4 linked regions of the Arabidopsis thaliana genome follow. The protein of the gene in region 1 purifies or fractionates together with the protein of each later gene. This does not show direct contact. Each region holds a gene or a part of one and is shown on either strand. Other genes may lie near its edges.

Evidence for each region.
Region 2: the proteins of ATCHR12 (region 1) and LFR fractionate together in Arabidopsis thaliana (co-fractionation; one large-scale study listed by BioGRID). This does not show direct contact.
Region 3: the proteins of ATCHR12 (region 1) and HTA7 fractionate together in Arabidopsis thaliana (co-fractionation; one large-scale study listed by BioGRID). This does not show direct contact.
Region 4: the proteins of ATCHR12 (region 1) and AT3G01890 fractionate together in Arabidopsis thaliana (co-fractionation; one large-scale study listed by BioGRID). This does not show direct contact.

Annotation. Positions count from the first base shown.
Region 1 is NC_003074.8:1,801,394-1,809,721, forward strand, and holds ATCHR12 (SNF2/Brahma-type chromatin-remodeling protein CHR12), read right to left. Parts: upstream 6,138-8,328; 5' UTR 5,892-6,137; coding exon 5,676-5,891; intron 5,407-5,675; coding exon 5,253-5,406; intron 5,078-5,252; coding exon 5,013-5,077; intron 4,913-5,012; coding exon 4,724-4,912; intron 4,409-4,723; coding exon 4,259-4,408; intron 4,144-4,258; coding exon 3,748-4,143; intron 3,644-3,747; coding exon 3,384-3,643; intron 3,293-3,383; coding exon 3,074-3,292; intron 2,992-3,073; coding exon 2,784-2,991; intron 2,700-2,783; coding exon 2,546-2,699; intron 2,431-2,545; coding exon 1,825-2,430; intron 1,734-1,824; coding exon 1,042-1,733; 3' UTR 748-1,041; downstream 1-747. Other genes in the region: AT3G06000 (RNI-like superfamily protein), read left to right, coding at 53-688. UniProt on the Arabidopsis thaliana protein: Probable chromatin-remodeling factor that is functionally redundant with CHR23 in root and shoot stem cell initiation, and root apical meristem (RAM) and shoot apical meristem (SAM) maintenance.
Region 2 is NC_003074.8:8,161,818-8,167,376, reverse strand, and holds LFR (ARM repeat superfamily protein), read right to left. Parts: upstream 3,437-5,559; 5' UTR 3,363-3,436; coding exon 3,170-3,362; intron 3,073-3,169; coding exon 2,903-3,072; intron 2,820-2,902; coding exon 2,686-2,819; intron 2,589-2,685; coding exon 2,332-2,588; intron 2,133-2,331; coding exon 2,027-2,132; intron 1,934-2,026; coding exon 1,795-1,933; intron 1,704-1,794; coding exon 1,576-1,703; intron 1,488-1,575; coding exon 1,232-1,487; 3' UTR 1,027-1,231; downstream 1-1,026. Other genes in the region: AT3G22980 (Ribosomal protein S5/Elongation factor G/III/V family protein), read left to right, coding at 4,061-5,559. UniProt on the Arabidopsis thaliana protein: Involved in leaf and flower development. Plays roles in leaf development partly by associating with AS2 and repressing KNAT1/BP transcription. Required for the formation of anther cell layers and normal expression of genes that regulates anther development.
Region 3 is NC_003076.8:9,791,203-9,795,451, forward strand, and holds HTA7 (histone H2A 7), read right to left. Parts: upstream 2,359-4,249; 5' UTR 2,164-2,358; coding exon 1,948-2,163; intron 1,842-1,947; coding exon 1,605-1,841; 3' UTR 1,307-1,604; downstream 1-1,306. Other genes in the region: DEG14 (Trypsin family protein with PDZ domain-containing protein), read right to left, coding at 132-259, 345-530, 635-742, 832-934, 1,019-1,033; RECQSIM (RECQ helicase SIM), read right to left, coding at 3,042-3,338, 3,448-3,540, 3,619-3,741, 3,894-3,981, 4,061-4,144, 4,229-4,249.
Region 4 is NC_003074.8:307,679-312,905, reverse strand, and holds AT3G01890 (SWIB/MDM2 domain superfamily protein), read right to left. Parts: upstream 2,900-5,227; 5' UTR 2,575-2,899; coding exon 1,250-2,574; intron 1,186-1,249; coding exon 1,134-1,185; 3' UTR 833-1,133; downstream 1-832. Other genes in the region: CYP94B2 (cytochrome P450, family 94, subfamily B, polypeptide 2), read left to right, coding at 1-547; AT3G01880 (vacuolar sorting-associated protein (DUF946)), read right to left, coding at 3,346-5,124.

The sequences.
Region 1 (8,328 bases):
ATTGGGCTTCTGGTTCACTTGGGAGAAAAAAATAAAGGAGCTCCTGGTGAATATGGTGGACACTAGCTTAACCAATGAGGATACTATAGAGGAGACTGCATTCGAGACTTGTACTCATATAAAAGTTGGAGTTTCTATGAGCAAACCATTTTCAAGCTTCAGTTTCTTGACTGTAATTAATCTAAGTTATACAAATCTAGAGAATGGAGGTGCTATAGCTTTAGTAAACGCTCTCAAGAACTCCGCTCCATCTCTTCAAGTTATAGAAATGGCTGGAAATAACATAACTTATGAGGCGGCTACAGCTATCGCAGTTTGTTTGGCAGCAAAGAGACATCTGAAAAAGTTGAATTTGTCTGAAAATGATCTAAAAGATGAGGGATGTGTTGAGATTGTAAAGAGTATGGAAGATTGGGAGTTAGAATATGTTGATATGAGCTACAATGACTTGAGAAGAGAAGGAGCATTGCGCTTGGCTCGTGTTGTTGTCAAGAAAGGAAGTTTCAAGATGTTGAACATTGATGGAAATATGATCTCTCTTAAAGGCATTGAGGAAATCAAAGTGATATTCACGAATTGTCCAAAGTTACTTGGACCTTTGGATAAGAACGTATATAATGTGGATGATGATGATGATTTAAGAGAGAATGATGAAGATGAATTTGTGAGTGTATTTATCTTTTATTAGTTTGTATTGTACTCATAGACAGTGGTTTGGATGCTATTTTGGCAAGGGCACATTTAGAGTAGCTCAAAAAATGAATTGGTCTCTTAGATCTTCTGAACAAATTATTACATGCTGTATGTTTTCTTTTAGGTGAAAAGGGTTTTTCAATCCCGAATAAATCATTCTACATAAGAAACATATACATTGGTAGTAGTACCTTAAAACAACAACAAAAAGCTAAACTTAACCAGAGACCAATTAAAATACATGTATTACTATTACATGTTAGATTGGGATAAGTTACATTGGCAAGAAGACACACAAACACGTAGAAGAAGAGACCAAAGTCAAACTCAGATCTCACCTCACCTTCTTCATTTTCGTCTACTTCCATTGGAACTTTGAGCTCTAGAGTCAGACGAAGAACACGTAAAAGAGTATCTAGACCTTTTCTTCTTATGAGTATTCCACTTGAATATTGCCTTTCCATCATTCTCTTCTTCACCTTCTTCTTCTTCCTCTTCAGACTTGTCCACTCTCTGTTTTCCACTCATCTCCTTCGCTCTTTCTTCTTCTTGCTCTTCTTCATCCTCCTCGCTCGTCCCATCACTCACAGTTTGGATAGATTCTATCACTTTTTTGCTCGTTGATGTCTTTGTGTTGCTTGCGTTCTCCTCTCTCCTATTATATCTCATTGAGAGTTTTGACAGGTCTTCACCGCTCTCCACGGCTTTCAGCCACTGTAACTCGCTTAGTGTGTCGCTGTAAACAATCTCTTTACGTTTTCGCTTACCTGTGACACTACCAAAATGGAACTTTCCGTTGTTCAACTTCTCCTCTTGGGTCTGAGTAGTGTACGCCCACTCAGGGACTTCTTGCTCTTGCATCAGACGGGCTCTGTAATTCTCCTTCCTTCGTCTCTCCTCATCCATTCGCTCAAACATCCAAAATTCATCCTCACTACGAGCCGCTAGCCGGTTTATTTCTCTCTCACTGGGGACATCTGTCCCGAGCGAGCTTGTTCCTTTACGCATAATCTCTTCAAGCATCTCTCTTCTGTCTTGTGCTGTTGATATAATCACAAAAACCACATCAAGAGATTACCATATCGATATAGAAAGCAGAAGCCCTCATATTGTTCTTTCGGACAGACATACCAGTGGAAGTTGTGTTGAAAAGTCCAGCTTGTATGACTTTGGCGTCAATGCCCATCTTTTGCTTTGCACGCTCCAATATTACTTCTTCAACAGAGCCAACGCTAACCAAAACAAACACTCTGACTTCCTTCTTCTGCCCTATGCGATGAGCTCGATCCTCGGCCTGTTGGTCCATTTGTGGGTTCCAATCACTGTCAAAGATAATAACAGTGTCTGCAGTTTGCAAGTTCAAACCGAGACCTCCAGCACGCGTGCTCAAAAGAAACATAAAGTAGGGAGAATCTGGCTCGTTGAATTGCTTCAGTAAAAGCCCTCTTTGATCTGTCTTTGTGGTACCATCGAGTCTAAGGTATTTGTAATCATTAAGTGTCAAGTATATCTCAAGAACGTCAATGAGACGGGTCATTTGGGAGAAGAGAAGAATCCTATGTCCAGCCTTGCGCAGTTTTGGAAGGAGACGATCAAGGAGTTCAAATTTCCCTGAAGCTCTCACAATCTCAGGTTTCTTCCACATATTGTAGTCTCCTCCAACAAATAGATAAGGATGGTTACAACACTTTCTTAATTGCATCGTTAGATTTTGCAGACTCTTTGATTTCCCAGATCCTGCACATGGTGATTACGTTTGCATAAAATCAGCTCCTCTTTCTGATTCATTTTCTCTTACCTCAAAGATGAGTGCAACATTAGGGAGAGAGTATACGTGAGTTAAGCTACAAACCTGTTTGAAGGCCAACCCTGCCCATGTCTGTAACTTGTTTGTAATACACTTTCTGCCACGCCGACATATCACACTTCAATATGACCTGTGTCTTTCCAGGAAGGAATTTCTCTACTTCGTCCTTTTTCCTTCTCAGTATAAACGGCCTTATAACCTGAAAGTGACAGAGTGAATTACATTAAAACAGTGCATACAAATTTTGATAAGAAATTTAAGGAAAGACAGCTAGAGAACCCACATGATGCAGGCGGTGAATAATCAAGAGCTCCTCTTCATCCGTGAGACTGACATTACCACGGTCAGCGAAAGGAGCATTAAACCATTCCTCGAAGTTCTGAACCGAGTTAAAGATGTGAGGAAGGAGAAAATTAAGCAATGACCATAGTTCTTGAAGGCTATTCTGTATGGGTGTCCCGGTCAACAGAAGTCTGCGTTTTATACGATAGCTGCATCCCGGATAAATTTTTGTTAGAAACATAATAGTTAGCCAACATCATTCACTTCAGACAGATGAATATAGAGATGTACCCTGTTAATAAAGTCTTTGCTAGAGCAGATTCGTGGTTCTTCAGCCGATGTCCTTCATCAACAATCATGTAGTACCACTCAATTTTCTTTAAAAATGCTTTATCTCTCATGATAAGATCATAATGGGTTATCAACACATTAAATTTTCCTTCTCCTGCAATTTTTTCCCTTATTGCTTTCCTTTCCTCTAAACGTCCATCATACAGAAAAGCTGCAATGCTGTCAAAAAAACAAAAAGGCTGATTTTCAGACATAACATTCATACCAGTGCAATTTCTCAGTACCAAGAGAAATATTGTTTGCAACATACCTTGGTACCCATGTTGCAAACTCGTTTACCCAATTTGGTAGCACAGCTTTTGGAGCAACTATAAGATAAGGCCCAGGCACACCTTTATTCTCCAGAAGATACGCAATCAGAGAAATTGTTTGAATAGTTTTTCCCAAACCCATCTCATCAGCTAATATTCCATTGAGGTTATTGTTGAATAGAGAAACCATCCATTGAAGCCCTTCTAATTGATAGGATCGTAGTTCCCCACCTTCTAGAAGCGAGGGCTGCTCCGTCACCTGTTAAAAGTATATATTGCTATTTTAAATTCCCTGGTCTCTGAGATGGCAGTGGTTTAAACAGTTCACCATACAGCTACTAAGTATATAGAGATCAACGTTACCTTCTCTTGTATTGAATGGATAGCCGAGTTATACTGCCTCTGTCCTTCTAGTAAATCATTAGAGTCATCGTTATTGTCAGACTCAGTAATATCTATATCCTGATCAGGAAGCAGATCCTGCAATGGTTCACTTCTTGGAGCATCAAGTTCAGACAAGTCAGATTCTGAGTCTTTAAGTAGATCAATGCCTTCCGGAAGTTTAGCATCTTTCTGACGTTGAACAGCAGCTCCCAAATTAGCAAGGAGTTTGTTTGTCTCCTCTAAAAGAGTGGTTAGTCTTTCATTTTTACTCTCCTTTACTAGTTTCATGTATGCCTCTTGATCATCGGACTTAAGGGCCATGAGCCTCAACTTTTCAGCACGGGTAGCGCGTTGTCTTTGTCTCCCATGCCAAGCCTGTTCGAATAATGTACACACAAAATAAATTTTAGATGTTTGTATATTGATTGGTAATATTAAAAGATAACTGGAACTACTATCACAATAACCGCGTAAGTAAACTCTATCATACCTGCACACCATCATTCCTTTGCCTACGGCGTTTTTGAGTCGCCTGAATTTGCAACTGGAATTCACGTACTGCATTGAGTACTTCTGCAAAGAATTTCCTCTTGGCAGTTTCAATCAGATTCTTCTCCTCTTCTTCTAAACGTGATAACCTCTGAACAAAGACTTTTAACACATCAGCAATGCCAATCACGAAGATTGAAAGCTATAAAATAAAATCATGTCATAACAACTAGAAATTGTGTACACTTTTCATTTCAATTCTATTAAATCCATCTAAATGAGTTCCAACAAAGCAGAATCTAGTGATATATTTATACACATGTCTAGTTGTACTGCTAAGATATATGAGCCATAGTTCAAAAGGGGCCTTATCTCATCAGGAAACTTCATTATCATAGGTTAAAATAAAATCCAGGAACTAAAAAAGTTGCACCAGAATATGCTAGCTGAATAAAAGGTAAATCACCTCAGCGTCACGCTTCTTTCTGAACTGATCATCAGCTTCCATAGCAAAAGGATCTCCAACCCCATAAAATGGACGAGGCAACCGCATCATGCCCCAGTCAAATACTTGGCTACTGACATCTGCACAGTTCAGACGTAGCCAGAATTCCGAGCTCACCGCGGTTCGAACCTTGCCTTGCAATTCCCGTAGCTGTAACTCACCAGGTAAAGTGTCAATGTCAAAGATATAACAATTCAAACAATGTAACATAACAACAACGATCAATGAGAACATCTAGCAACGATGATACCTTAAGCCCATAAAGCTCAAGTAAGCACTTTGCCTGCAAATCTTCACCTCTAGTAGAAGGTAATTCTGATTCAAAAACACAAAGAGTAAGCACAAAGCATCCCCCTTGAAGAATAAAGGGTTTTAGTAACATAATTGACAATAGTTCTCCAGTAACAAAAAAACTGTTGCCAAGCATAACAAAATCAAAACTTGAGAATGGATTGAAGTGCAACTTAGGAGTAATAAACACGATAATAACCTTCAAGTTCAGATAAGCGGCGTTGGATATGACTCTTATTCCGATTATCCAGTAATTGTATCAATCGAGAGCCTGATTCACAATCTGGTCTCTGCTTCAAAAGTGCATCCTCGAATTCACCCATCAAATCAGCTCCATAGGGAGCTTTATTCGCCTGCAAAAACAACAAAGAGACCAAACCACAGATTAAAGCAAAAACCTTTAGACTGTAATTCGACAAAACAAGCCACTGAAGATATCTAATTTCCATAGAAACTCGAAAAAGGAGAAAACTTTGAACATAAACTCGAAAGCAAAGCTACAAAAACAAATCACAGGACCACATAAATCGATTCAAAACCTCCCAAACAAAGCACAAAACACAAAAAGGGGCAAACATCAAAATCTAGGGTGAGGCTGGAGAAGGGCTCGAGAGTGAATTACAGGCGGCGAAGTAGGTAGCGGCGGAGAGACATCGGAGTCAGAGAGAGAAGAAGAAGAAGCGCCATGGTAGATTGAAGAAACGGCGGTGAAGAGGTGAGGAGGCAAAGGAAGGTCACGAGAAATGTAATTGAGAGCACAGATCAGAGACTTGGTGGTCTCAACTGGATCTTCTTGAGAAGTGCCGCCGCATCTCTCTTGGAGCTGCTGAGCCACCATGGCGGGAACTTGTATTCACCGTTTTCGATTTCAACTTTCGCAAATTTGATGTCTTTTTTTTCGTTGTCTTTTTTTTTTTTTTTTGTAATTCAGTTTTCTCAAATCTCTCTCTTTGCCTTTAGACACACACACACTCGAGAGAGAGACCGAGACAAAGATGAGACGGAGAGAAATTTGGAAATCTGGTTTACGATTTTTAGGACTCACCAAACATCTATCTTCTTGTATTTACATTTTTAACCCCCGTTTTATTAATGGGCCGTTGGACAGGCCCATTTGATCGGCATCTGCGGGCTATATATTGATATTGATTGGGCTTGAAACTGAGTATTTTAGTTAATGTTTAGAAGGTTCATAATCTAGTCTCGCTAATGGTTTGCTGCTATATAGAGAGTCACCGAGAAAATATAGTAAATTTGTATGGTTCAACAGATTCTGGTATATGCTAATAAGAGTTCATAGAACCAAAACAATATATGCGACAGGAAGCATTCGGAAAAAAAAAACTACCGACAGTAACTAAATTTGTATTTAATTGTAATTAATTGTCTCGTTCTGATCAAATCGAGTGTACCGTTAAACCAAAATTTCAAATTCTTGAAGAAGCACGTGCTTGACAAACGTGGAATGAGAGGGTTTGTTTTGAATCCGATTCCCATTAAGAGGTTATAAGACAACACACCGACAATACATATACATGTCCATTCCAATTTCTAAAATCTTGTAATTTCAAAACCTTAAGTGAGTGTGAGTCACATTTTTTGTTCTTCTCGGAAATAGTAATTTGTTTGCTGTTGGGAGATAGTGTTGCCTAGAGATTCTTTGTCCCATTTCTTTCAGTCGTGAATTACAATGGGTGTATATGTACGTATGATTCAAATCGTTCATTGTCCCACTTGTAGATGTACGTTTGTCCATGTTATTGTCGATCGACTCTTGTTATCTAGTAAAATTTTGTGTGTATAGGAAACTGAATGTTGCTTTATCTTCCCTATTTTTTGACTACTGTGTTGGCTAATAATAACTTTAGATTGAATGGGTTATAATTAAAGATCCTTGTTCTAGTAATGGAATAGATCGATCCATGACTGTGTTTGTTCGTTTGAATCACTATTCTTATCCGCACTTCACCTTAAATAAAAGCCTTTTTCATGTAAATTGACATCTCCTTTGTGAAAGTTATAGTTTGCTTGGATGATATGTGAGTGAGACAACAGTTTTGGATGAGAATGATATTTTCATGTGGATGTCATGCGTCAACAAAAGCAATGGGAGACAAACAATAACTCTATGTGGCCAATACATAAAATTCTTTATTTTTATTCTTTGTCTAGTAAATTTTTTGAACTATGTTAACCAATGGTTCCTTAACATGTGTAAGCATTGCTTATAATATATAAGCTCGATTTAAAAGTTTAAGGAGTGGCTCATAAAGGCTCCACTAACTTAGTCAAAAAGATGATTTTTGCTTATGCAAACCATTTTGAGCCATGAGATGTACACTTTGGTTTCACATCATGTGTTTTAGATTCCATATAGCATTCAACAAATTTTGGGATTAAATTTTACGATACATTTGTTTCACAAAATTCTTTTCGAATAAGTAATCGGACGAAATCAAGAATCATAGAATCCGAATGAAATTGGATCTCTGGAAAGTGTTGAAAAAACGCTTTCAAATATGCCAACACATCTACATTAAAGATGCATACTCTCATTTTATAACAACACTATTGGTAGTTTGGTACAAACATCAAAACGTAATGCTTAAGTTTTCAGTCTCCACTAAATTTCAAGTGGTATGACGTATTATGTGCCTTTAGATCCTCCATTAGTTGAAACAAATAACTAATATTGATGGATAACGATTCAAGTTTCACTCTGTTTTTTTTTTCTTTTTCTTGGTGCATCATGGTCTTGTGTGCTACGTACAACAAAAGTCAAATTAGTTTCTCATATAAAATTCTTATACTTTAATTTGCTTGTGTCGCTTGTCGGTATTCACTTAATAATTGTAAAACTCAATTATATAGTAAAAGCATCTTTAGGTAATAGGACACAATCAAAAAAGTAAAGCATGATCGTTTGGAGCGGCCAAAGGTTGCTATATGCTATACTTTCTAATTCATTTCTATGCGTTGGTTCGAAATTTAGGACCACATGTGGTGATCAAAGACTCAATATATATAGATTGATATTTGTCGACAGATTACGTCTGCAGGTCAGCTCCTTTTTCGACCTTTTTCTCAATTAAATTATGTCATAACTTTTTACATGCTTACGTTATATATAGATCCTCTATTTTAATTTCATTTTTATATTCGTTCCAATAGTGTGTCAACTATATGATTTATCTCATTCTTGATTTCTTCATATGGGAAAGTAGAGATTGGAAAATAAAAATGCGTATGGTTGTAGGGTGTGTCGTCATGATAAA
Region 2 (5,559 bases), 6.4 Mb from region 1:
ACATCACTAGAGGCTCCACACTTGGACCAATGAAGAGGTGCAATTTGATTAGTAAAGTTGGGACTTGGGACCCTCTTCAAGTAGCACTACAATTAGAAAATTAGATTTGGTTTCTTCCCCAACCACCAAATGTTGTTTTCTTAATAGACATGTTAAATAAAATCTCCCTCCTTCAACTTTACTCATACTATATAATGAACATATATTATACAACAAGGTAAAAAAATCATTATATACAAGAAAGTTTCAATAATGCGCTCCAAGTTAAAGATATCTCAATAGCATAAAGAATTTGATCGATACAAAATATACCGCTTGAATATCCATCAAATTAGCAGAAACAAAAAGAAAGATTCAAAGCCATCTCTTATCACTTCTATCTATACATTCATCTTTAACCACTAACTAATTTTATATCACCAATCAAACCATTTTCCAAATATATTCTTCTTATTGTTCTGATATTTTTCTACCAAATGTTTAGTGTGTGAATCAGTTAACCACTATCTTGTATGAACATAAAGAAAGAAAGATTGCAATAACTTGATTTTAGAGTTTAGTTTTGAGATGAGTTGTCTCGAAATACAGGTATGTGTGTTTAAAGCAACGGTTATATATTCTTTCAACTCCATAATATACCAAAGAAGAAGGTTACTAAAATCTTCACGAAATTCAAGTTTAGCAAAATATATGTGGAATACGCAATTAACGTTTGTAGAAATGCTCTAGTTCGCGTTGTAGAAAGTTGTTGGTCACAATTTATGGGTTAATTAGGTGGTTAATGGTTATGGTTGTTCAAAATATAATTATGTTCTACTATACGAACCGAATCCAAATAAAAATGTATAACAAGAGAAAACGTCTCCTCGTCTACAAGAAAAGACACATTGATTTTGAAGAAAGAGTAATAATAACAAAAAATGTAAAGACAAAACACTGTATTATGTGTGACTTAATTCTTGTTAGTTTATTGTATAGTATATGAATATGATTAACCAATACACTATTCTAACGTCAAAACGTGATTATTTGGGTTATTTTATTTTCAATTTGAATCACAAAATATCTCAAATTTGTTTTTAGTAAAGATCAAACAAAACACATGTCGAAGCTATGCGAGAGAAGAATCCATCTACTTTTTGTTCAACAACACTGCTTTTTTAATACATAGCAAATGATTAAAGTTTACAACACAATCAATTAATCAAACCCACTAATCTAGAGAAGACTTTTACATGCCCCAGATTCCTCTAGCTGAAGCAACTCTGCTATTAGATCTAGCAGTGAGTTCATACAAAATCCTAGCAAATGAATCAGAATACTTACCCTCTTGAAAAAGCAGCTCAGCGAAAGCATTCTCATACGCGAGTAGCAATCCTCTGTTTTGAGGCTCCGAGACAAGGTTCTCAAGGATCATTGCAGCTTTCCTACATACTTCTGGAACCGGATGCGGAGTCTTTATCACTTTCAGCAACCTATCAACCGCCCTGAAAAAGATCATAATGGTGTGTCATTGTTGCGATCTAAAAACAGTTTGATTGTATTCGATAGAGAGGGAGTATAGTTTTTGTTTACCATCTCTCACTTGCTAGCTTTAATCTGCAATCCATGTTAACTTCCACGAGATTGTAGAGTGCTCCAACAGCTGCAGCTTGTGCATCAACGGCTTGTATGCTCAAAAGATCGATTAGTCGCTTGTGTATCTGCAAGGGATAGGTCCATTGTTGGGTTTAAATACTAGTTAAAACGAGTAAGTAGCCAGAAACCATATGAAGATTATAGAAGTTAACAAACCTGCGGAATTAAAGGACTAATGAAAGGTTCATTGTCCGGATTGATTATCAAACGCCCTAGCAACTCAGCAGCAGCACAATTCCAAGCTTTGACAGAAGAATTGAGGATTCCGACCACAGCTTGAACAGCTTTCTTTTCACTATATGCACAAGAGTAATGAATGATTCACATTGGTATTTGAAACAAGTTATGGATTGTGTAACTAAGAATGCAGGGAGATACAACTTCTCACTTTATGTTGATGTATGACTGCTTAAGCGAGCTGAAAATTCGAAGATCCATCAAATGCGCTAGGTTTACAATTGTCTCTAGCGAGTTTGTGACCAGCTCTTCATCCTCTGTTAACAAAAGATTGTCTTAAGACCATAGTTCCCAATCAAGTATCAAGCAAATAAGGAAACAGAGAGAATACATTCAAGCCAATTCAAACCAATAAGAAATAAGAATCTATCAGAAGCAAATGTAAGGAATTATAACTAGTAAAAGAAACAAAAAGGTTGGGATTGTATGTATCAAAACATTAGTATTCTTCCTTACCGGTCATATGATCGTGTATGCACTGGAAAACAGTTTCTAAGCAATGGCGATGCTGAGCCATTACAACTTCATTATCAGGCATGAAGGAGAAGTTGCGGATAACGTTCGATGCAGCAATAGCACACATTTGTTTCTCTGATCTCCCTTCATCGTCTAGATTAAACAAACCATCCTCTTCCATCCACCACTGAGATGACTGATGTTTACCAGTGCTCTTTTTTCCTAATGCCTCAGCAGCAGAAGAACCAATCCCGGATCTGCTAGGCCAAATATTAACAACACTTAGGTTCTAATTCTAAATATAAGCAACAATCATTTAAAACTGTAATCAAAGCAGTATCGAAATTAGCTCACCCAGGGGGTTGAATAGAGGCTAGAGCATCATACTCATTGCCAAATCCCGTAACTGAAGCATTTGTACCTAAAGTTCTAACTCTAGTTCCTCTTGTCAGGTCCTTTGGGAGAGCTATGTCACGCCAATCATCTATCTGCCAAAGTTTTAGCATCATGTTGGTTCAAAGAACAGAGAGGAAAACACAATCCCAACACCTAAACAATTAAATAAACTCACAATTAAGAGAAGGGCATCAAGCAAGCCAGCTATCTTAGCAAGAGGCATGACATCTCTTCGAATATCTTCTTTTTCCTTGAAGGAAAGCAACGTAAGTGTGTTCAATGCCCATGTCACCTCACTCTTCAAACCACTCTGCAACGCAAGAACTATTCTTCTATTGTTCTGCTCTATAAATTCCAATGATCCCAATGAAAATTACCGATTAAAAACTCGTTCACAAGAAGAAAACAGAGAGGAATTATAGAGTGGTCATTGCGAGCTTACCGACGAAGGAATTGTGAACTAGAAGAGAAGGACCAAGTAAAGCTGACGGTGACATCGCGTCCGCTGCTGCCGCCGCTGCAGCAGCAGCAGCTGAGTTAGCACTTGTACTACCGAAGGGACGGCCTCTCTTCGCTGGTGGACCCGAAGATCCACCGGAATTACCGCCGGATTTCCCAAGCTCCCGTTTCTGCATCTCTCTCTAATTTGGGGCTAAAGTTAGGGTTCGGAAATTTTGACCCGAAAGATTTATTCCGGTTTAAAAGTCCCAAGACGATTTAAAAATTAAAATTGTTTAAAGAGCACTAAACACTTTTTGTGAGTCAGAGGGTTTCGGTACAATTGAAATTAAAAACGTTTTAGACCGGTTTATTCCGGTTGAAGAGTCCGAGACTATAATTAAAATTGTTAAAAGAGAGCACTAAACCGTCTCTCTGGTTTACAGGGTTCCGGTTTAATTAAAATCAAAAACGTTCACGTCTTCTTGTATATGTTTATACAGACAAACTTGCAGAGGGAAATCGCCAAACCCTGCGCCGCCGTTGTTTCGCCGCCGAAGCAAGTTTCGCACCATTCTTCTTCAAACGTCTGAGCTCCATCAACTGATTAAGGTGATTTTTTTACATATCACTCAATTTTTGAATCGAACTTTTTAAAATATTATGGAATCTTCAAAGAGCATCTCTCTCGTTTTTATCTCTCTTTGATTCTTACGAGACGTGCACAACTCTGTGGATTCGATTCAAAAATTCGTGAGCTCTCACACAAGGTTTTAGGATTTGGATTATGTTTTGTTGAAGTTTTCTCTACTAATTTGAATCGCATCGATTCTGATAATGTAATCCTTGTATATATTGAATCTGCAGGTAGCTGTGTGTTTTGTAAATTGAAGAGATGGATGAATCTGAAGGTAGGAAAGTTAGGAACATATGTATACTAGCACATGTAGACCACGGTAAGACGACTCTCGCCGATCACCTAATTGCTTCTTCCGGTGGCGGTGTTCTTCACCCGAGACTTGCCGGGAAGCTTAGGTTCATGGACTATCTAGATGAAGAACAGAGACGTGCAATCACGATGAAGAGCTCTTCGATTTCTCTTAAATATAAAGACTATTCTTTGAACCTGATTGATTCTCCTGGTCATATGGATTTCTGTAGTGAAGTCTCAACAGCTGCTCGGTTAAGTGACGGTGCGTTGGTTTTGGTTGATGCTGTTGAGGGAGTTCATATTCAAACGCATGCTGTGTTGCGTCAAGCTTGGATAGAGAAGTTGACTCCTTGTTTGGTGCTTAATAAGATTGATAGGTTGATTTTTGAGTTGAGGTTGAGTCCTATGGAGGCGTATACTCGTTTGATTAGGATTGTTCATGAGGTTAACGGGATTGTGAGTGCGTATAAGTCAGAGAAGTATTTGTCGGATGTTGATTCTATACTTGCTAGTCCTTCAGGGGAGTTGTCTGCTGAGAGTCTTGAGTTGTTGGAGGATGATGAAGAAGTTACTTTTCAGCCTCAGAAAGGTAATGTAGTATTCGTGTGTGCTTTAGACGGGTGGGGTTTTGGGATTGCGGAGTTTGCTAATTTTTATGCCTCCAAGCTTGGAGCTAGTGCGACTGCGTTGCAGAAATCGTTATGGGGTCCTCGTTATTATATTCCTAAGACTAAGATGATAGTAGGGAAGAAGAATTTAAGTGCTGGAAGCAAGGCGAAACCAATGTTTGTGCAGTTTGTGCTTGAGCCTTTGTGGCAGGTTTATGAAGCTGCACTAGATCCTGGTGGGGATAAAGCCGTTCTTGAGAAAGTTATCAAATCTTTCAATTTGTCTATTCCACCACGCGAACTTCAGAACAAGGATCCAAAAAACGTGCTTCAATCGGTGATGAGCCGTTGGCTTCCTCTGTCTGATGCAGTCTTGTCTATGGCTGTGAAACATCTGCCAGACCCCATTGCAGCACAGGCATATAGAATCCCACGCTTGGTTCCAGAAAGGAAAATTATTGGTGGTGATGATGTTGATTCAAGTGTCCTGGCAGAAGCAGAGCTTGTTAGAAAATCAATCGAGGCTTGTGATTCTAGCAGTGACAGTCCTTGTGTTGTGTTTGTGTCGAAAATGTTTGCTATTCCAATGAAAATGATTCCTCAAGATGGAAATCACAGAGAGAGGATGAACGGTTTAAATGATGATGACAGTAAAAGCGAGTCAGATGAGTGCTTCCTTGCATTTGCTAGGATCTTTAGCGGGGTACTTCGGGCTGGGCAAAGAGTCTTTGTAATTACCGCCCTATATGATCCCCTCAAGGGGGAATCGTCTCACAAGTACATTCAGGAAGCAGAACTGCATTCCCTATATCTTATGATGGGGCAAGGTTTAACACCAGTAACAGAGGTGAAAGC
Region 3 (4,249 bases), on another chromosome or scaffold:
AGATTCCATCAAAGATAAATCCGTAGAAGAAACCAATCTTATAATTAACCATATGTATTCCAAAGACAAAAGTTATTCCAAGATCCTTTGCAAGATTGTATGAGTAAACATATTTGATGTTTTAGTCATACCCTCCCTTTAGAAGAATGACGAATGTTCTGAAAATCAACTACAACATGAGCGCAAGTCAGTATCGTGCCATCAGCATCAATGATCGTTCCAGAACCGATACTTTTCCCCATAGATATCCCATGGAAACCTACAACATTCACAAGATCACCAAACCACCACTGTGAATTCTAAAGTGAAATCAAAAGAAAGATAAAAACAAGAAAGAAGCTAACCCTGAGGAACCGAAAGATTGACAACCGCTGGTCCAATTCTAGCAGCCGCATTGGCTATAGTATCTCTCCCTAAGTAGCCATTACTTGGTTTCGAACTACTATCCGAAGCTTCAACAGAAACTCCCTTCTCATCATTTATAGGTGCTTCTGATTTCGGACTAACTCTCGAAGAAAACACGAAATTTCCTATATCATATACACAGAAACAGACATTCCAAAGTTGCAACTTGCACCTCTAGAGTAAATTTGGCATTGATCATATTCAGATATCAGAAAATTTTGCTACGAACCGAATAAGCTTTGCTCAGGACGATGAATCAAACCCGGTGAAATCTGCCAAGGCAGTAACGACAAAGATTCTCGAACAGATTCAGGTATAGCAAGCGATACTCGAGTTCCTAGAATACATATCACATTAAACCACAACACCAAGAGAGACAAATACAACGCATAATGAAGAAGATGGTTCTTGGTAATAGTAACTTACTTGCATCTGGATTAGTACTAGCATATAAAATTCCAGAAGTAGCAGTAGCAACAGAAATGATGCGAATAAGCTCGCTTCTTTTAGAAGATGATACAGCTCTTCTCTAAACCCAGAAAAAAACAAATGAGTCAGTGAAATTTTAACCAAATTAAACAAGAAATTGAACAATCGCAGAGAAGAATCGAACCAGAAAATTCATCATCGCAAATCCAAGATTGAAACCAAACAATTTGATTCTACAAGAACGAAATTCGAAATCGCGTCTTGTTTAAATTCTAAACCCCACCGGAAAACCAAAACCCCTTTTCCAGAATCTCGTAGATGAACCAAGAACATAAATTCTAACGGGCCTATCAACTAAGCCCAAACAAAGCCCAATTTGAACAATCATTTTCTTAATTAATGTCATGTTTTTCGTGATTATTATCTACTTTAATTAATGTCATTAACTGTACTGAATCTTTCCATGTGTATACCAAAACCATTTCAATTAATCCACCTAAATTGTTTAAATCAACAAGTACGAAACCCAGAAATTAATTAGACAGATGAAGTTACTAATCCCAGAACTTAATTATTTTCCATTACAAATTGCGTTAACAAACATAATCATCTTCCCATGGTTTTTACATAAGACAAACCAAAACAAAGAGAAGAAGATTTCAGATACCTACACAAATCCTCTAAAACAAAAAACAAGTTGTTTCTTCTTCTTCTTCTTCTTCATCTAAGATCCGAATATAACCAAAAAGCAACATCGATACTATTCTTTATCAAGCCTTCTTAGGAGATTTGGTAGCAGAAGCTTTCTCCGCTTGAGAAGAAGAAGCTGTTGATTTCTTAGGAAGAAGAACTGGATTAATGTTTGGAAGAACACCACCACTAGCAATAGTAACTCCATGAAGCAATCTCCCCAATTCCTCATCGTTCCTTATCGCTAAACATAGATGCCTAGGGTTTATCCTGTTCTTCTTATTATCTCTCGCTGCGTTCCCAGCTAGCTCAAGTACCTAAACCAAACCGGTTCAATTCATTAGAACTTCAAAATTAAACAGATCTAATAGATACACAAAATAAATCGATTCAAAATGCAACGAGATCTGAGATTGAATATACCTCGGCGGCTAGGTATTCGAGAACGGCGGCGAGGTAAACCGGAGCACCGGAACCGTATCGGAGAGCGTACCGACCTTTCTTCAAGTAACGAGCGATACGACCAACGGGAAATTGAAGACCAGCTTTAACAGATTTACTAACACTCTTCTTCCTATCTCCACCTTTCCTTCCTCCTGCTCCTCTCGTTGGCTTCGTCGTTGCTTGTGATGACTCCATTGTTCAAAAGCTCCAAAAGAAAATACAAATGAATCTAAAGGGAAAGCACAATTAGTGTTTTTTTCGGTTTTGTGGCGGTTTACGATTTGCTTAAAATGAGGAAAGAACGACGTGTATGTATATACCACGTATTGCCACGTTGGCGATCCGTGTAGTAATTTATCTTAGCCGTTAAGATTGGATCTTGTTGGCTTTGATCTAACGGTCGTAATGACTTCTTTGTATGACATTACACGTGGGTGTTGTAAAAGGAAGGTGGAAAAGAACACTTGAGTGATATCAGCCGTTAGATTCATTCCCCACACGTTCTACAAGATAATCAGCTTTATGTCTTTTTCTTATCTTATTTTGACAGCAGATTATTACTATTATTTAAAATATCCAGAGAATTAGAGTAGAAAATTAGCGGATAATTCGGAAAATTAAGGAAACAAAAATTATTACCCAAACTCTGGTTTTAATTAGTGTAATAAGTACAAAAAATGTGATTAAGAAAGAGAGTTTAAGATATTCAACTGTAATCTTCTAAGCTCCATGACAAATGAAGAAGCATCATTAATGGCTGCACGAGATGAAACCAAAGCTTCATGGAGCTCGGTGTTAACGAGATAATAAGAACATATCTCTTTGAGAATCACATCATGACGTTCTTGAAGCCTTGTTACGTTCTCTTCCGCCGTTACCAAAGCCTCGTTTACAAGCCTCAGCTTCTCGATGGCGCGGTATCTATGCCTCAAGATGGGACTCAGAGCAAAGAAGGAGCCTGATATAGCAATTGTAGAAAGAAGTATTATGCTTCCATAAAGATCCATGAATGGAATAATGGGTTTGGTAAAAGAATATAAAGTGGATTCATTACTTAAAGAGGGTTGAGATTCTTATTCTTTGCTTCTCCATGGATGTAACTTCGTCGAAGAACGTCCTCGTGTTCGTTTTTTTCGGGGTTTCCTTTCTCTTCGAGGCTTTCTTTCTCTTCTCTCTAACCGCTGGCGCCGGATCTCTGGATCTGCCCATCCTTTTCCCCATTCAGAGAATCCACTGTATGTTCTATCTTGTTTCAACGAAAGTAGCATGTCGGCTTCTGGATAAACATAGAGTGGTTTGTCATCTTGGAAATCTAGTTGTTTCTTCCCTTTTTCTGTTGGTTGTATGAATTTAATCTCAACTCGACGATCCTGCAACACAGATCAGTAACATGGTTTTAACCGAATATGTGATCGTAGCTTTACGCCTTTACCGATAAATGGATCATAAGAAAGGTTGGTTTTTTGGTTACTAGTGTACCTTGTTATCCATCTCTTTGATGTATCCTTCGGCTTCCATGATACGGGCAAGACCTTTCCACCAAAGACAATCTGTTTCCTTGAATTTTTCACACTACACTAACCAAAGGCATCACATTAATATCATCAAGAACATAATGCACTATGTAATTTGTTGAAACAGAAGATTTACCTGTTCCCTGAGTTTACTGATGAAGAACAGAAGATTTGGCTTGTGGGATAATTTATTTTGTTTGCTGTTGCCGAGTCCATAATCTTCATATGGTGCATGCTCAGAGTCATTGTCTACCTGCAACTAATATACTAGCGGCTTAAGTTTCAGAAAGAAAGGTTATACAGTAGTAGACGAAATCTCAAATACTAAATAGAAATATGTTTGATTGTATATCACTCATACGAAACAAGCAAACTTTTAAATGAAGTTCTGGGATTAATCAAATGGCTTACATGAAAAGCAGTGATTACTTGAAACAAAAGATTAGCTTCCTCTCGTACATCTACTAGCTCCGGAGGCCCTTCAGTGCAAACATCACATCTGTTTCATAGATTGGAAAGGTTTTACAACTATTTGGTAGTTTGACTTGATGGGTTTTAGATAAAAGGATAGGACTTACGAGTTACACTTTTTGGAACTAAATTCCTCCCCAAAGTACTCCACAAGTATTTTGGCCCGACATTGTGAAGTGTTCATTCCATATCTGCATAAGAAAGGAGAATGAATATAAAAGAATATAGAACGATAAGTGAATATGCACTCCCACGTATCTGACTAGTATAGAGACCTGAAACAGTCAGATAGCATC
Region 4 (5,227 bases), 1.5 Mb from region 1:
CGATCTGGTTAGTGAAATCCGATCGGTCAAGGAGGAGATAACGGGGGGTTTTGATTACGAATCATTGAAGAAACTGAGTTTGTTGAAAGCGTGTTTGTGTGAAGTGATGCGATTGTATCCTCCGGTGCCGTGGGACTCCAAACACGCCTTAACCGATGACCGGTTACCAGACGGTACGTTGGTGCGTGCCGGAGACCGGGTAACGTATTTTCCATATGGTATGGGGAGAATGGAAGAGCTATGGGGGGAAGATTGGGATGAGTTTAAACCAAACCGGTGGGCTGAGTCTTATGATAAAACCTGCTGCAGAGTTTTGAAAAAGGTGAATCCGTTCAAGTTTCCGGTTTTCCAAGCCGGCCCAAGGGTTTGTCTTGGGGAAGAGATGGCGTACGTGCAGATGAAGTATATTGTGGCTTCCATACTTGACCGGTTTGAGATTGAACCGATCCCTACGGATAAACCGGATTTTGTGCCAATGCTCACGGCTCACATGGCTGGTGGGATGCAAGTCCGCGTTCATCGGAGAGATCCTTCTCTTTCCCCTTGAATATACAAACAAAGTCAATTATCATGGCTTTTTATTTTATGTAAAACGTCTCTATGATCATTCATACCCAAAATTATTTTCTCCTTTGGGTAAACAACTCAACTTTTTTTTTTTTTTTTTCAATCCAAGTCATAAAGTCTCTACTAAATTTTTGAGTTTTGAAGAAAATTCAACCAATATTAGCTCAGTTATTATATTTTTGTTTGAAAATGACCCATTTTGCATTTGTTATCATCTTGGGATGATGACTATATTAAAAGTTCAACGTGAGAGCACAATGCCTTGGTCTTTTTCTATCCATAATAATACGTACGTTATTATTATTCTACAAGACTAGATCGAGCCAATTGGAAGTCAGTACGTGGAATCTACAAAAGAAAGTGAAAAAGTCAAGTATTTATCTTTCTTATATTTTGTCGCATATGATGCACGAGCTACAAACCAAAGTAAAAACTCTTGAAACTTGAGTAACAATGTTTCACTTAGAAAAAAAACCTATAAGGAACGACACTGATCAAGTGTCCTGGACCTAAGTGACTTCTAGGTAAAAGTAGTGAACTCATGAACTTCTTGGCCCATCTGCATCTTACCCGCCTGCTGGCTTCCGGTTCAAGTAACGTATTGCAGCATCCTCCACCCTGCAAGAGAATTCTCAGTGATTGTAAGACAAGTGATGAAAAGCAGAACAGTAGAGATTATTACCATGGCTGATTGAAGAACTCTGATCGGCCTTCTTTCTCAGCGTTTCGACTTGCTTCTCCTGCAACAAGCTTCAGATCTTTGGTCTGAGATTCCATCAAGGCATTGGTGAATTCCACCGGTGACTGGCTAAACCCTAAGAAAAACGCCCGTCTCCTTCTGTGCTCGTGGATTTTCCTTATGGCTCCGCATATGGCTTCATCACATGCCTCAATCTCTTTGTTCTTCTCTGGATTAGCGAGCAGATTGGAAAGCTCCGTTTGGACCGGTGCTGGTATGTCCACAAGCACATCGTAACATGCTGAGATGGCTGGATTGTTCCCCGAAAGCTTGATCTTGTGTACAAGCTGAATGGGAGGCGGAGGTGATAGGTGCTGAGATATCTTATGAGAGAGCATAGTGAATTTCATCTTCTCTTCCCCAAAAACACTGTGGAGAGCAGCATCACAGTTGAAGAAAGAAGGGTCGTTTGGGTTTTGCAGTTTCCTGACTTTCACGTAATGCCAGATTGCCGCAATGATTCTTGGGCGAGTGTCAACCTCAATGCCCAAAACTTGCATCAAAGCAGGAGAAGTCTTGAACTTCTCAGGGACGTAATTCATCTCCAACAGTATAGTAGCTGCAAACTCCTGACACCCTATCCTCTTTATCTCAAACCCTTCCAGAGGAGCAGGCGATCGATCCCTTTTCCATTCGATCAGATGGTTCTCAGGATACAGGCTCTGGTCCAGGGATATCTTTAACGTTTTGAAGAAAGACGAGAACTTGGGATAAAGTGGGTTTGAATTCTGAACTAATCCACCAGTGTGGTCAGGATCCAGGACCCTGCCGAAAATCCTAAGAGTCCATGTGGGAGGGTCAGGACCAGGGATCTGGTTGGAAAAGGTGTTGAAAACGTAGATCCTAAGGGTCTTCTGAATGGAAGGAGGGTTCTTAAGGGAGTCTTGGATGTCAACTTTCTTTCTGAAGAGAGCGGCATCAACCCGAGACTCAAACTCAAGAAGCTGTGTGTAGAGAGCAGACTCGGGCAAGACGGCAGCAACGCGCTCCTGCAAGGAGGACTTGTCTGGAAGCTTATGTTTCTTTTTCCTGGAAGCTGGAGTCAACTCCATACTAGGAGGAACAGCAGGAGGTCCTCCAATGGGAGGTTTATGTGGGAACCTTCTTCCAGGAGCACTAATCCCTTGGTCTTGAGAGAGCTGAAACTGAGGTTGAAAGTTAGGAGGGGCCATGTGGGAGGGAGCAAACGATGCAGAGGCCATTCCAAATGGCCAAGGCAGAGAGCTTTGAGGCCCTTTTAGTGCGTTCAACTCGTTATTCCCAGACATTGCTGATCACAAAAAATTGAATACAATCCCAAATTGGTGTCGACAGTAGTTACTCAGTAATTTTGGCTAGAAGAACCTCATCAAAATCACAACACACACACTCTATCGAATTTTGCCCTTTCTAAGCCGAACGTAACCCTAATTTAGTGCTGCGCGAGGATAGAGCCCTAATCAATTTCCCCCCAAATCTAAATAGTAAGATATAGGACACAACTTCTTCTTCTTCAATACAGCAGAAAGCGTATAATCTCAACTCCAGGAGAAAGAAAACAAATTCAATTCCCTCTGGAAGAAGAAGATGAAGATGATTCTTCTTCGAAAAAAAAAAAAAAAAAAAGACACGGCGGACCTATCAATGCCCACCTGAATTCTTCAACCGGGTCAAAACCCAACCATTAGTTAAAGGCCCAACGGCCATGGTTCGTGGGTCCATATTTAGATGGATCAATATTGCTTCTCGGCAATAAATCTAATTCCATGACTATAGGTAAAAAATCAAATTAAATCTAATCCAAATTATTTTTAAAAAAACTCTTAATAATCTACACCAATTTATTTCCAGATAAATACTATTTTTTAACTCTAAAACTAAGATCATGACAACCTTTTTTTTTCCCAAATAACTCTAAAATTTTTAATTAGCACATCTACATCTTAATTCTTAACAGATTCTATAGTATTATTGTTACTAATTAGAAATTACAATGATTATTTTCGACAAATGTAAACCTTATTGATATATAACATAATGCAATAATTCACAATAAAACACTAAGAATATTGTTCATCACCGGTCCAAGTCACCTTAACTTTGGGACCAGTTGGACCATCTTGACCCCGCATTTCTAAAGGAATTTTGTTGATGAGTTTTCGCAAACCTTTCCGTAAAAAGATGGGCAAAATCTTTGCGACAGAGTTGAGAAATATGTCAATCCTGTAATGGACTCGAGGTCCCCATTTCCTAAAATAATTCAGCCACGGTGGCTCAACCACGCCAGGTCCCGCAATCACTTCATATCCAATACCTGCGTCAAAGCATTTGTCGCTTCTTGCCATGTCGTTCCTTATTCCACTTTTGCCGCCACCTTGCAACACGACTCCAGGTTTGGAGAACATTGCATGCCCATGAAGAGACGAATATACTACTGGTTTGTTTCCACCTTGCATGAACTCTAGATCGCATGCATCCACTAAAGTTCCTCCACTGTGTTCAGAAAAGTAAACACGCCATAACTCACCATTGAAGTTGCTGATGCGTAATGTAACGTGTTCCCAGTCTCCAACATGCTCGCCAATATTTCCTAGCGACAGGCTCTTGATAAACAAAAATTTTAAATGTGCATTTCCGTTATAGGGAAAGAATAGCCATACTACAATATCTGTGAAAGTAGCTCCAAACATTGGTTTGATGTGTAGATACACCTTAGTGCTCTCTAAATCTCCCCTCTTAACCTTTTCTCTAGCCTTTTTATCGACTAGATAATCTAACCAAAACAAGTCATCATTGCAACCTCCTTGTGGAAGGTTTGAACCATTTGGATGTATCGGGACCGGGATGGATTCGTTTCCTTTCTTGTGTAGCAAGGCACCGTTAGCGAAAACCCAATTGACAGAGGAAGGAAGGAAATCTTCTTTTGGGTGTAAATATATCCAAGGAGAATACGTTTTAAACAAAACTCTAGTTTGATTTTCGCTTGGCATGCTTGACAAGTCAAATTTTGTATTTTTTAAGCAGAATAAAGGAGGGGGATGAGGAAGAAAGTTTAGTTGTTTGCAGCTGAATGTCCCTGTGAACACACCTGTCGCCTCTACTCCTCTCGTGGCCGGTCTCAAACTAGAAATAGTCATATCTTTTATCCTCCATACCCATGTATCGGCTTCACTCTGTTCTGTGAGATCAGATCGAACACAGCTTATAGAATTTTGTCCCAAAGAGGGCTTCATAGGAGAAGTAGTGACATATAGACCAACCGCATGATATCCATTAGGACATAGGGGCTGCCAAAAATATGCAGGCCCCTCTTGTTTGATAAGCAATGTTGTAGTGTTTCCAACTTCAGTGTAGTCGACTGGTGGTCTTAAATTACTTCCCGATACGTCTTTTGCAACAAGAATCCAACCAAAAAGCTGTCGGTTGTTAGGTTGTGCATAGAAGCCAAGTTTGAAGAAATTACGAGGAATAGTAGTTGGTTCAAAGATGCTGACTCCCATGTTATCCGGCCCTCCTTCATAAGTTCTCCACACTCTGTGTGATGTTGAGTTTGAGATAGAGATTTGAGTAACCTCAAGACCTCCCATATCAATGCTTCTTTTGCCAAAATTTCCACCATCGGAAGGCATACTAGGCAAAGGACTAGGAAATTTAAAGCTTGTTTCCACCGGTAAACCATTAGACGAAAGATAAGGATATTTGAATGGATACCCTAAAGAATTTACGTAGGAAATGTTGGTCAAAGGGTTAGTTCCAGTTTCTGCCCATGACAATTGCTTAACAAATAGAAAAACAAAAAACAATAGAAATTTTAAGTAGGTTTCATACAAGAGTTGCATTTTCTTTGGTCAGTTAATCATTTTAAGATTAGGTGAGCAACCTTCATTCCCTACATATATATTACATATATATAATTATAATTCTGTCAGAAAAGGAACACAT